Arabidopsis thaliana: one gene and its partners. The protein of the gene in region 2 interacts with the protein of the main gene of each other region in a pairwise test. Each region holds a gene or a part of one and is shown on either strand. Other genes may lie near its edges. The genes, in order: SCAR2, SPK1 and RAC6.

Evidence for each region.
Region 1: the proteins of SPK1 (region 2) and SCAR2 interact in binary tests that used the Arabidopsis thaliana proteins (3 or more experiments, as listed by UniProt).
Region 3: the proteins of SPK1 (region 2) and RAC6 interact in a two-hybrid assay, tested with the Arabidopsis thaliana proteins (one study listed by BioGRID).

Annotation. Positions count from the first base shown.
Region 1 is NC_003071.7:16,093,156-16,096,909, reverse strand, and holds the start of SCAR2 (SCAR homolog 2), read right to left. Parts: upstream 1,676-3,754; 5' UTR 1,361-1,675; coding exon 1,206-1,360; intron 1,028-1,205; coding exon 864-1,027; intron 781-863; coding exon 657-780; intron 569-656; coding exon 439-568; intron 254-438; coding exon 192-253; intron 70-191; coding exon 1-69. Other genes in the region: AT2G38430 (uncharacterized protein), read left to right, coding at 2,100-2,400, 2,569-2,737, 2,823-2,979, 3,064-3,144, 3,312-3,419, 3,514-3,754.
Region 2 is NC_003075.7:9,239,963-9,243,716, reverse strand, and holds the start of SPK1 (guanyl-nucleotide exchange factors;GTPase binding;GTP binding protein), read left to right. Parts: upstream 1-2,087; 5' UTR 2,088-2,120; intron 2,121-2,317; 5' UTR 2,318-2,656; coding exon 2,657-2,734; intron 2,735-2,810; coding exon 2,811-2,973; intron 2,974-3,053; coding exon 3,054-3,145; intron 3,146-3,237; coding exon 3,238-3,350; intron 3,351-3,440; coding exon 3,441-3,496; intron 3,497-3,589; coding exon 3,590-3,687; intron 3,688-3,754. Other genes in the region: CBL6 (calcineurin B-like protein 6), read left to right, coding at 48-165, 245-315, 400-459, 531-639, 721-854, 946-1,058, 1,137-1,212. UniProt on the Arabidopsis thaliana protein: Guanine nucleotide exchange factor (GEF) for Rho and Rac. GEF proteins activate small GTPases by exchanging bound GDP for free GTP. Controls actin polymerization via the two heteromeric complexes WAVE and actin-related protein (ARP) 2/3.
Region 3 is NC_003075.7:17,024,046-17,027,799, reverse strand, and holds the start of RAC6 (RAC-like 6), read left to right. Parts: upstream 1-1,933; 5' UTR 1,934-2,285; coding exon 2,286-2,384; intron 2,385-2,504; coding exon 2,505-2,592; intron 2,593-2,678; coding exon 2,679-2,788; intron 2,789-2,862; coding exon 2,863-2,926; intron 2,927-3,352; coding exon 3,353-3,417; intron 3,418-3,494; coding exon 3,495-3,560; intron 3,561-3,647; coding exon 3,648-3,749; 3' UTR 3,750-3,754. UniProt on the Arabidopsis thaliana protein: May be involved in cell polarity control during the actin-dependent tip growth of pollen tubes.

The DNA of each region.
Region 1 (3,754 bases), on a different chromosome or scaffold from region 2:
AACTTCACAACGCGCGCTGGATCTGAATGATGAGCCTCTAAATGCTCCTCCAAAAACAATTCATGCAATCTGTGCCAGTTGAATAATTGAAACCAGCCATTTTTAGTCACAGTCAGATACCAATATAGGAACTACATATATATCATAACAGAAATGACAAACACACAAGACATAAAATAGATAATACTCACTTGGCATGTGATGATAATGCATTTTCAGGTGTCCCTCCATTCCTCCACTGAGATGCTCTCCTCTACAAGAGAATAGAAGGAAAACTATGAGAATCACAAAATGGAAGGTAAGATTACACATTCAAAACACCATGAGCATAAGAAAATCTACTATTCAGAAAATCTACCATGTAATGGAAACCAAAATATAACCAAGAAGGATCACACTGCAACCCATAAGCTACAACCTGAACTAAGAAGCTAGTACCTTTGCTTTCTGTGATTTTTTCTCTCTCTGAATATCATCCCATGATTCTTCATATGAAGACGTTTCAAGCCTAACAAACGATGGATCGGTGTAGCGTTTCAAACAAGCCCCAGCTCCGGAAATATCAAACCTAATCAAAACCATCAGAAGATGTTACATATATCCTTCTCTAACAAACGACTAAAGAAGAAGTCCTATCAAACAAGGCTAAATCATACTTGTCCAGAAGAAATAGCCTTGGAGGACCTCGACATTCCTCATAAGAATCCATCACACAACGAGGTAAGTCACCACTTGTAACCACACTCTGTTCCAATTGTAGATTCGGATGCCATTCCACACCTGAAATAGAGTCACAGAATCATGTTGAAATAATCCAACATCATAGTAGCTGACCAGATCATGAATGTTCATAGCAATCTAACCTTTGTTAGAGAAAAACGGCGAATGATCGGTTTGACACAGTAATGCCTTCTCTATAGAAGGAAACTCTGCTTCCAACTGTTGCACACGAGCCATTAAACCATGGCTTCTAGAAGCAGTAGCCATTACTTCTTCGTGCAAGTCATGAAACATCTCAGCAGCAAACCTTCATCACAAATTACATGAATTTAAAGACAATTCCATCAAAAAATCAAAACTTTTTCCACTTCCACAACCAAATCCAGATTCATCAAAATTGTCGCTTTACAACAACGGATTCCAAAACTTCGAATTCGATGCGCTTAGAGATCAATTAGAGAAATTTCGATTGGAGAGAAACTTACTCAGCGAGATCACCGAGTTGACGCAAAATGCCAACGAGACCAGCCATAGCGACTCCTTCAAGCAGAGCTTCAGGGTCATCTTTATCAGCAGCTTGATACAGATCCGGATCTGCTAATCCATACTCGTTACGAGATTGGTACCTCGTCAACGGCATTGTTTGAGCTTCTCTGTCTGATCAGCTCGCTGATACTTTTGTTCAAATTCTAAAGGTAAGAACTTTAGAAAGAAGAAGACTAGAAAAGCTTCTCTGTCTTCATTTAAGTAGTGACCGACCACCATTAGATATGTGACGACATCACTTAGCTGGAAACTAAAACGGACTTTCTGTGGATTCAAGACGGCGGATATAGGTAGGGGCAAAGAGAGAGAGAGAGAGTCTGAGAACCTCAACGCTAAAAGACTTTTTAAGAAAACATTTCTTTTTCTATTTTTCGATAGCCAGAAATACTTAAAAAATTGTTACTTTTAGTGAAAAATTCTTACAAAACCAAAACCTTGTTGCAATAAAACCTGCATTTAAGACCAAACCCCTCGGGAACCTGATAGTTTCAGGCTTGAGGTTTGTCCAATTGTGATCCCTATCGAAACCAAACACAATCTAATTAAAGTCATTTTTGAGAAACGGATGAGAGTTAATTGAAAGATTAAAAAGGGAGCGAAGAGTCTATTTGAGTGTCACTGTTACTTCTCTGCAGGAATATTAAAAGACGTTGAGTTTCGACTACAGCCTACAGGTATGATTCGACTTCTCTCTTCTCACCTTAAAGTTTCTGTCTTTATATTCTTCTTCGCTCGTTGTAAAGCAATTCTTATTTGAGCTCCAAGTTTGAGATTTTTTTGTTTTATCTTGAAATCGTTTTTGGTTGATGTTGTTGTGAGTTTCAGGTTTAGACATGTCTTATATTCCACCACATAAGAGGCATTCGAAGGATCCGACAAAGCCTACCCCTGTTCCAGATTCTCTTGTTACAAAATTCAAGAAGAACCTTGACTTTAAGAGTAGCACTAGCAGTGTTAAACGCAACAAGATTATCTATTCAGGAGATTCCATTTCCAAATGGTTTCTTGTTGGTTCAAATGGAATTGAGGACGATGTTCCTTCGTATGTTAAGTTTGTGCCCTTGTCCTCAGATTCTGTCGAGTGTAGAAAAGGAGAAAAGCCTTCAATACTGATGAACAACAATGTCCAAAATGGTAAGAAACTATTAGTAGACTTTGGCTATGTGTTTGACAAAATGAATATCATCTAGATGCTGAAATAAACAATACTATTAACTATTTTGTTTGTGCTATTATCGTTTTTGCCAAAAGAAGATGCATTGTATCTATGTTGAGTATGGTTTTTTATATGTTTATATTCAGTGAATATGAATATTGGAGAGAGGAAGGATGAGAGAACTCAGTGGCTATTAGTAGCTGAGAAGGTTATGGAGGATCTTGTGTTGGCATATGAGCGAGTTAAGACTGAAATGAAGGAGCATCATCATGTATCGAGACTGGTTGCTCGGTTTGGTAAAATTTTCTTCTATGGGTAAGCGATTCACCGTCTGATCTCACATTTTGCTGTTTTCAGGAATGGGTTTATATTTTTTCTAACATATACAACTTTAAACCAGGAGTCAAGCTGGTCCTGTGGCTGAATGTTCACTAAAAAACTTGAATAAGATGTTCTCTACTGATCTCCCAATGTCTTACTTACAACACATAAAATCTAATGTTGTACCAAGCCATGGATTCTCTATTGATAAGGAGAAGGAAACATACACTGTGAAGGTACTCGTTTCATTTTCTTAGATTTAGATCTATACTTCGAATGTCATTTGAATGTGCTAATTTGGGTTTGGCTTCTATTTTTAGGTATCGCATTATTCTCGTCCTAATGCAACCATCAACTGTAAATGTACCCGTAAGGAAGATGGACGGCTCAGTATGTACAAGGCAAGTCTCGAGTTTTATGTGTGTAGTGACTACAACCAATAGTAAAATCTCTTCTTTATTGTTCTCGGACTAGCAAGAAAAACAAACAAGAATTTGATAGATGTCACATTTTTACTTGGTCTTCCTTTAATATCTAACTTTGAATCTTGAGTTTTGCTTTTATATAGGTCGACCTTAATCCTGTAAGGCATTTGGTTGTTGATGTGTCATGCATTGATAAGAATCTCGACATGAGACTAACGCTCACCGCTAAGAGGGAAATAACGTATCTCAGTGTAAGTTCAAGTTTGGTATATATATTTTACAATATATGGATAAATAATATGCTCTTCTTAGACTTAGGTTGTGTGATCTTTCTTTGATCGGCAGGATAAAGAGATAGGTGACATTAAAGCGCTATTGGAATCAGCAACTGTTGATCCAAATGTAAAAGGCGGTTTAAGGTGGCCGTTTGGTAAAGCTTTATCTGAAGATGGATACAAAGAATTTGAAGTTTGTCACGTTAGAGCTACTATCTACAAAAATAAAACTCTAAGGCTTAGGGTAAGAGAGACTGATAGATTCAATGAGACGACTGGAACAGGGGAAACCAAGAGGGAGGTGAGTTTGA
Region 2 (3,754 bases):
CTTTTTTCTGTTTGTGGTAGGCATGGACATAGTGACTTTTGGGAGAGATGATGATGCAATGTTTAGATGGATTAAAGCACTTAGCCTTAATTCTGTTGACTTGTTGTGATGCTGATCCTCCCAAGGTTCGTCAGAACCCTAAGGATGTGGCTAGAGGCACTGTGTGTATGTGTCTACCCCTACATTTACTTTTACTATTTTTATTTGTCACAACCCCAACAATGGCTTTATGTACCAAATGCAGTTACAGTGAATGAGATTGAAGCTCTTTACGAACTGTTCAAGAGCATTAGCAAAAACGGGCTTATCGACAAGGTATGCAAGAATCCATAGTCGGACACGAGTACTATATCTCTCTGTTCCTCTACATTCACTAGGATCCTTTCAAATATATTGCAGGAACAATTTCAATTGGTACTATTCAAAATGAACACAACGAGAAGCCTTTTTGCTGATAGGGTAAATTAGATAGACTTGTAACTCACTTATATGAGTTTCCTTGCTGTACACTCATACTTCAAGCTTTGCAGGTGTTTGACTTGTTTGATACCAAGAATACTGGGATTCTAGATTTTGAAGCCTTTGCTCGTTCACTTTCGGTCTTTCACCCTAATGCTAAATTTGAGGATAAGATTGAGTGTAAGTGGTCGAGAGAGACTTGACCTTCTTTTTTTTTGTCATATCCAAACCTTGGATCAAGCTCATCTTTTGTCTCTGCAGTCTCTTTCAAGCTGTATGATCTGAATCAGCAAGGTTATATAAAGAGACAGGAGGTGAAGCAAATGGTTGTGCGGACTCTAGCTGAATCTGGCATGAACCTTTCTGATCATGTGATTGAGAGCATCATAGACAAGGTGGGTTTGGTTGATCTCCTCCATTGACACTAACTAGGATTCTCATATTTAATCTTTGACAAGAGATGTAAAAACTGATTGGTGTGTGTAGACATTTGAAGAAGCTGATACTAAACTGGACGGGAAGATTGATAAGGAAGAGTGGAGGAGTCTTGTGTTGCGCCACCCCTCTCTGTTACAGAACATGAGCCTTCAACATCTCAAGTAAGCTAGCCATGTTATTTGCCTTATTATCTTCTTCGTGCGGGACTAACATGTTTTTGTATGTTGTGTTTTGTGTAGAGACGTAACAAAGACGTTTCCAAATTTTGTATTTCACACTATAGTGACAGACACTCCTAGTGAGCTGGATGGATGATCAGGGATGTGAAGAAAGACCAAAACCCTTTACAAGATCATTCATACTTGATTCTTATCTTCTTCTCCATTACTCTATTACAACCCTCCTCTTTATTTTTAATAAATACGTTCTGAAAGCAGCATTACCTCACATGTTTGTGTATCCGCAAACTTGTTCGGTTTATCTTATCTGTTGGAGTGTGCAAATTGATTCTTTTACTCGGCATTAGTTTTATTTTGTTGCTTCTTCTTTCTTTCTATCTAAATTTGTTAGTTGGAGTAAAATCCGGACAACCATATTTTACAGGGAACCCAAATGGCGAGATAGTTTTAACATGAGAAAGGAAAGATTCATGTGAATGAGAAACTGGTTAACTTGAATCTCATAGATCATTGTATACTTGGACATTTTCCCAAGATTAGAACAAACAATACTAGATCTCTCGAAAATATCTTCATCACAGTTGCAAAGAGCCGTGGAGAACCCAACTCTTGAGCTCAAAATTGTATCAGCTAGTGACGTCAACCATATCGAATATGTCACGGACAAAATGGACGTATACGCCGTCGTTTCAATCAAAGACAACACAACTCAACAGCAACAAGCGGCCAAAACTCCCATTGATATATAACGGAGGTTCTAATCCGACTTGGAATCACACACCGTTAAGTTCTCCGTCAACGAGAGAGAAGCCACGAAGCCCAATAATTATGTTAACCAGTGTAACGTTTTTTCACCCACTTAATTTTTTGGCTGGGTCTGCCTAACATTCTAGGCACAAGTTAAAGAGGTGATCAATTTTTAGAAATTATAACCCTAATGCTAACATGAATGATATATAAAAAGGCCGCAATGGTAGACTATAATGGCAACAACTCTGAAACAATGGCTAAAGATTGGGATTCACCGATTCATAGATACCAAAGGTAACTATGAACTCGTTTACGGTTTATCTCAACATGAATCCGTAGAAACAAATCAACAATCCTAATTTCAATAAAGTGTGACAACTAAATTCTTTAGCCGTATACTTTCTAATTCCATTTTGTTTGGTATAATGAGAATTGGAATGACTTTTGGTGAAAATGGTTACTACTTACTCCAATTCTTTAAGTTGGTTCAGGTGAGGTATCATCGTCTTTGGTCGTCCCAATGATTGACTCTTTTGTTATTTAAAAAGAAAAAAGGGACAGTAGAGTTGGACTCTTGTTGGACTTACAGCTCCAGCTCGACTTTTGCTTTCCTCTTGAGTAATCTTCACTTTTTCTCCCAACTGCTTCCTCTCACGGATCTCTTCCTCTCTGCGTAAAGACAAAGATTCATCCTCCTCTCCTCCTTTAGCTCCCCCACTCAGATCTACTTACTACTCCAACAATGTCCTTTTCCCATTTCTAGGTTTTCACAAATCCCCAATTCTCTCTAATGGCGTAGTAGTACCTCACATTGTATTAGATCTATCTCAATGGAGAACAACAATCTTGGTCTTCGATTTCGTAAGCTACCTCGTCAGCCTCTTGCTCTCCCTAAGCTCGATCCTTTGGTAATTAAACTCTCCTCAACCTTTATTCGCGTTTTCTCTCTCTTTTCGTTAATGTGTTTCTTCTCTTTTGTTTCAGCTTGATGAGAATCTGGAACAATGGCCACATTTGAATCAATTGGTTCAATGTTATGGCACTGAATGGGTTAAAGATGTTAACAAATACGGTCACTATGAAAATATTCGACCTGATTCTTTCCAGACTCAGATTTTTGAAGGACCTGATACTGATACTGAGACTGGTAACTATGATGCATTGTTTATTTTTATTTTTTTTGCTTTTGTCAATTATTGTACATCAATTAACTCTCTGCTTCTTCAGAGATTCGTCTTGCTAGTGCCAGGAGTGCAACTATTGAGGAGGATGTTGCCAGTATTTCCGGGAGGCCGTTTTCTGATCCTGGATCCTCTAAGGTGTCTTCTTTTACTCACTTCATTGCTCTGTTATATATTTCTCATCCTTTGGTTCTTACTTTGAAGGTGTTGCTTTTTTTTTTTTTTTTCAGCATTTTGGGCAACCTCCTTTACCTGCTTATGAACCAGCTTTTGACTGGGAAAATGAAAGAGCTATGATTTTTGGTCAGAGAACTCCTGAATCTCCTGCAGCTAGCTATTCCAGGTTTTTTTTTTTTTGCATGTCACTATGCTTTACCTGATCTTATTATCTTTGTCTGATTTGTACTTCTGTTCCTCTTTATTATCTTCACAGTGGATTGAAGATCTCTGTCAGAGTTTTGTCTCTAGCTTTTCAGTCTGGCTTAGTTGGTGAGGATTCTGACTAACTGCTGTCTATTTTCTGTAATTTTAGTTATTTCAACTTCTTTAAGTTCCTTCTTTATTTCTCTTGCATCCCTGCAGAACCATTTTTTGGCTCGATTGCATTGTACAATCAAGAGAGGAAGGAGAAACTCTCTGAGGATTTTTATTTCCAGATTCAGCCGACGGAAATGCAGGATGTAAGTAACTGATTAGAGCCAACTGTCCTCTTTTTGCCTCTTCCCTTCTCATGATTATATAAAAGGT
Region 3 (3,754 bases), 7.8 Mb from region 2:
TTCTCGTAGTTTCAGAAAGCAAAAGTCTTTTTTCTAGTTGAAAAACCAAAGAGAGAGAGAGTCAGAGAGCTCAAAGTTCATCCAAAGTTAATCGAGAGCAAGTTTCATTCCTCTCAACAAAGTTCGTCCAAGGTTTCTCGTAGTCACTAGCCGAACTCTGCTTTTAAGATTGGTAAGAATTCTTAGATGTTTCCTTACTTTTCTACGACTTATGTTGTTGATCGAAACACTTTCATGGTCTATTCTTCTCACTAAAGTTTCGTCAGTTTCAGTTTTACGCATCATACTATTTTCACTTTGTCTAAACTCACATCTTCCTCTGTTTTCTTTTTCGAGTGTTCTTGCAGGTTTCTCTCCAAGCAAATAGCTAGAAATGGAAGGCTCATCAAGCTTCACTACAACCAACGCAAAGAAAGAAAAACAGAGAGCGTTCACCCAATTTCCCCGTGATTTCATTATATACTATCATCGTAATCAAGAACTCTGCTTTGAGACTCTGCTTTAGGGTTTGGTAAGAATCTGATGTTTCTCCTTTTTGTTTGACGAATTGAGCCGTGTATTTTCTGAAACATCTTGATTTTGGGAATTGTAGTCATAATGTTAAAGAGAGTTATTATAGTGTAATTTATCTTTGAGAAATTTCTGCCATCTAAACTGTTTCTGACAATTACAGGTGAGAGAGAGAAGAGATAAATGATCCGTCACAGTCACGACAAACGATCCACGGCAACCTTTGGCGGTGATAGCGGGCTTGTTGCGCCGGGGTATCATCTTGGACTTCCAGTTGACTACTCGCCGTGATGTTCAGGGTTAGTTTCATCAATGCTCTTCTTATATGTCTCTCTCAGTCGTTACTCTGTTAAAAGCCATATAATAAATCGTAGACTTGGTGAGTTATTTGGTCGGATTTTATAGATTAACTCTCTCATTCATCCATATGTAGCTCGTGTATTTATGATTTTTATGATTTTTTGTCATTGCATATTTTCAAACTTGTTAGTAATTTTGGAATGTTGATTTGATAAAACTGATTCCAACTCCACGAATCCTGGTTTATCAAAACTGTGATTGTATCATCGTACACACATCAAATAAAAACTTTTACTTTGAACATTTTCAAATGCTAACTTTTTCCGACAAATTAATTACATGGTTTGTGAAAGATTCCCAACTCTTAACGTTTTTGTTCTCGCTGTCGCAGGTTTTCTTATCAAGGAAGGTTACGTTGACCCGAATAAGTTCATTAGCATAGACATCTTTCCTCACGAAAGGCAAATATGACCAATGTTGACATTTTACATACTCGGTAAAATATTTGTTAGTTGAGATTATTGCAATTTTTGGCAGAAAATATTACCACACTTTGTTGACATACAAATAAGTTCAGGTTTGGTCCATACACCACATTCTCACTAGCCAACATGCAAATTCAACTAACCACATTCAATATCATCAAACATCCTTGAAATTTTAACATAAATTTGGCGAGTATGCGGAAGAACTAGTGCATTACAACTTTATTGTACCGCAATTGGCTGATTGGTTTCATAAATATTGAATCATAACTTAGAGATTTTTTCACATTTGGTGAGCATCCGGAAAAACTAGTAAAAAAATGAATTAGAATAGTAAAACAAATCGTACTAGAAATTTTACAGACAGTTAAAAACACGTATAATTTTAGCCAGTGTTAATTTTTCTTATTTGCATTTTAAACAACAAAGACAAAATACATTATGTGCAACTCCTTTATTTTACTTTTTTGTATACAAGATAAATAAATTAATTTGAATATACACTAAAAAATCAAACAGAAAAAAGAAGAAGAAGTAAAATAGTAATTATTTAAAAGACAACAGAAGAAGTAAAAAAAGTAAAAAGATTGCAAAACAGTCGGAAGGTTGAATGGCTGAGATTAATCGAACGCTTCAATGGCAATTATTTCCGGCCATCACTTTCTTCTCTACTTCTTTCTTTCTCTCTCTAGTTGTTGTTCTCTCTCTCTCTCGCATCCTCCAATTCATCGTCCTCACGTTCCCTTTTGTTTATTCATCTTCCTTCCTTCTTCACATTTCTGATTTTCTCTATTTGGGGGGTTTGTTTCCACATTATACATATCTAGGGTTTTGAGATGGTTAATTGAAAGATAATGGTCGAAGTTTCGGAGGAATTGGCTTCACATTGTGGGTGTTTCTGGCTTCCTCAGGTTTAAATCTGAGGTTGATCTCTTTTGTTTTTTGGTAAATTGTGACATATTTTGGCTCGAAGAAGAAGAAGAAGAGGCAATGAGCGCATCAAGGTTCATAAAGTGCGTCACCGTTGGTGATGGAGCTGTTGGTAAAACCTGTTTGCTGATTTCTTATACCAGCAACACCTTTCCCACGGTATTCATCAATCATTCTCCCTCCTTTTTTTGATATCTGATTCATTTGATTCTGATTGTGCCATATATGAATTGGGATCCATACATACTAAAAATGTTGTATACATTTCCATTGGAACAGGATTATGTTCCGACTGTTTTCGATAACTTTAGTGCAAATGTGGTTGTTAATGGAGCCACGGTGAATCTTGGATTGTGGGATACTGCAGGTAATGAATGATGATCCAATTCATAATCCTTGGTGAGAGAGCTTTCCTTGATGAATCGGTCGAAATTATGTTTTTGGTTTATGCAGGGCAAGAGGACTATAACAGATTAAGACCTTTGAGTTACCGTGGTGCTGATGTTTTCATTCTTGCCTTCTCTCTCATTAGTAAGGCTAGTTATGAGAATGTTTCCAAGAAGGTCAGTTTCGTCCGAACTGGTCGACTATTTAACAATTGAGAGTTCCAAATTTTGATGCTTCTTTTCTTTTACAGTGGATTCCTGAGTTGAAGCACTATGCTCCTGGTGTCCCAATTGTCCTTGTTGGAACCAAACTAGGTTACTTCCTCCTCTCACATTTGTCCTTGTTTATGCATTTATTTATATATATGTCTGATTCCCATGCTTACACTGCCATTTTCCTTTTCACTTTATTAAGCTGCTCTGGTATAATATATCATGACATTAGTGGACATAAAACTTCACCTTCTCTTGATTGTGGTTAAAACTTGTACATGTTCAAGATGTATTCGTTAGGTGAAACTGAGGGTAGTTTTCAGAGAATATCATTGGTCAACAGGCTTCTTCTTGTATCTTGCACTTCTTGTGATAAAGCAACCATATCCTATAACACACGCCTTTAAGCATCCTCCAATGAAATAGCTACTGTATAGCAAGTGTATACCTTTATAAAAGACACTTGCAAGATCTTCAGTCAACTCATGATCCTGGCCTTTTTGATTGTCTAACCTTGGTTGTTGTCAGATCTTCGAGATGACAAACAGTTTTTCATCGACCATCCTGGTGCTGTCCCTATTACCACTGTTCAGGTAAGAATACAGTTATTTCCTCAGTGCAATTTTATCAGCTTTACCACCGTTAAGCATTTTCCCTCTCTGCATGGAAGGGAGAGGAGCTGAAGAAGCTAATTGGAGCGCCAGCTTACATCGAGTGCAGTTCAAAATCACAAGAGGTAAACGAATAAAAGACATCTCATGAATCATCTTTTCGGTGTTGGATTCTTCATCTTTTGATGAAAACAATGTGACTATAACTGCAGAACGTGAAGGGCGTGTTTGATGCAGCGATCAGAGTGGTCCTTCAACCTCCAAAGCAGAAGAAAAAGAAGAACAAAGCACAAAAGGCCTGCTCCATCTTGTAATAGCA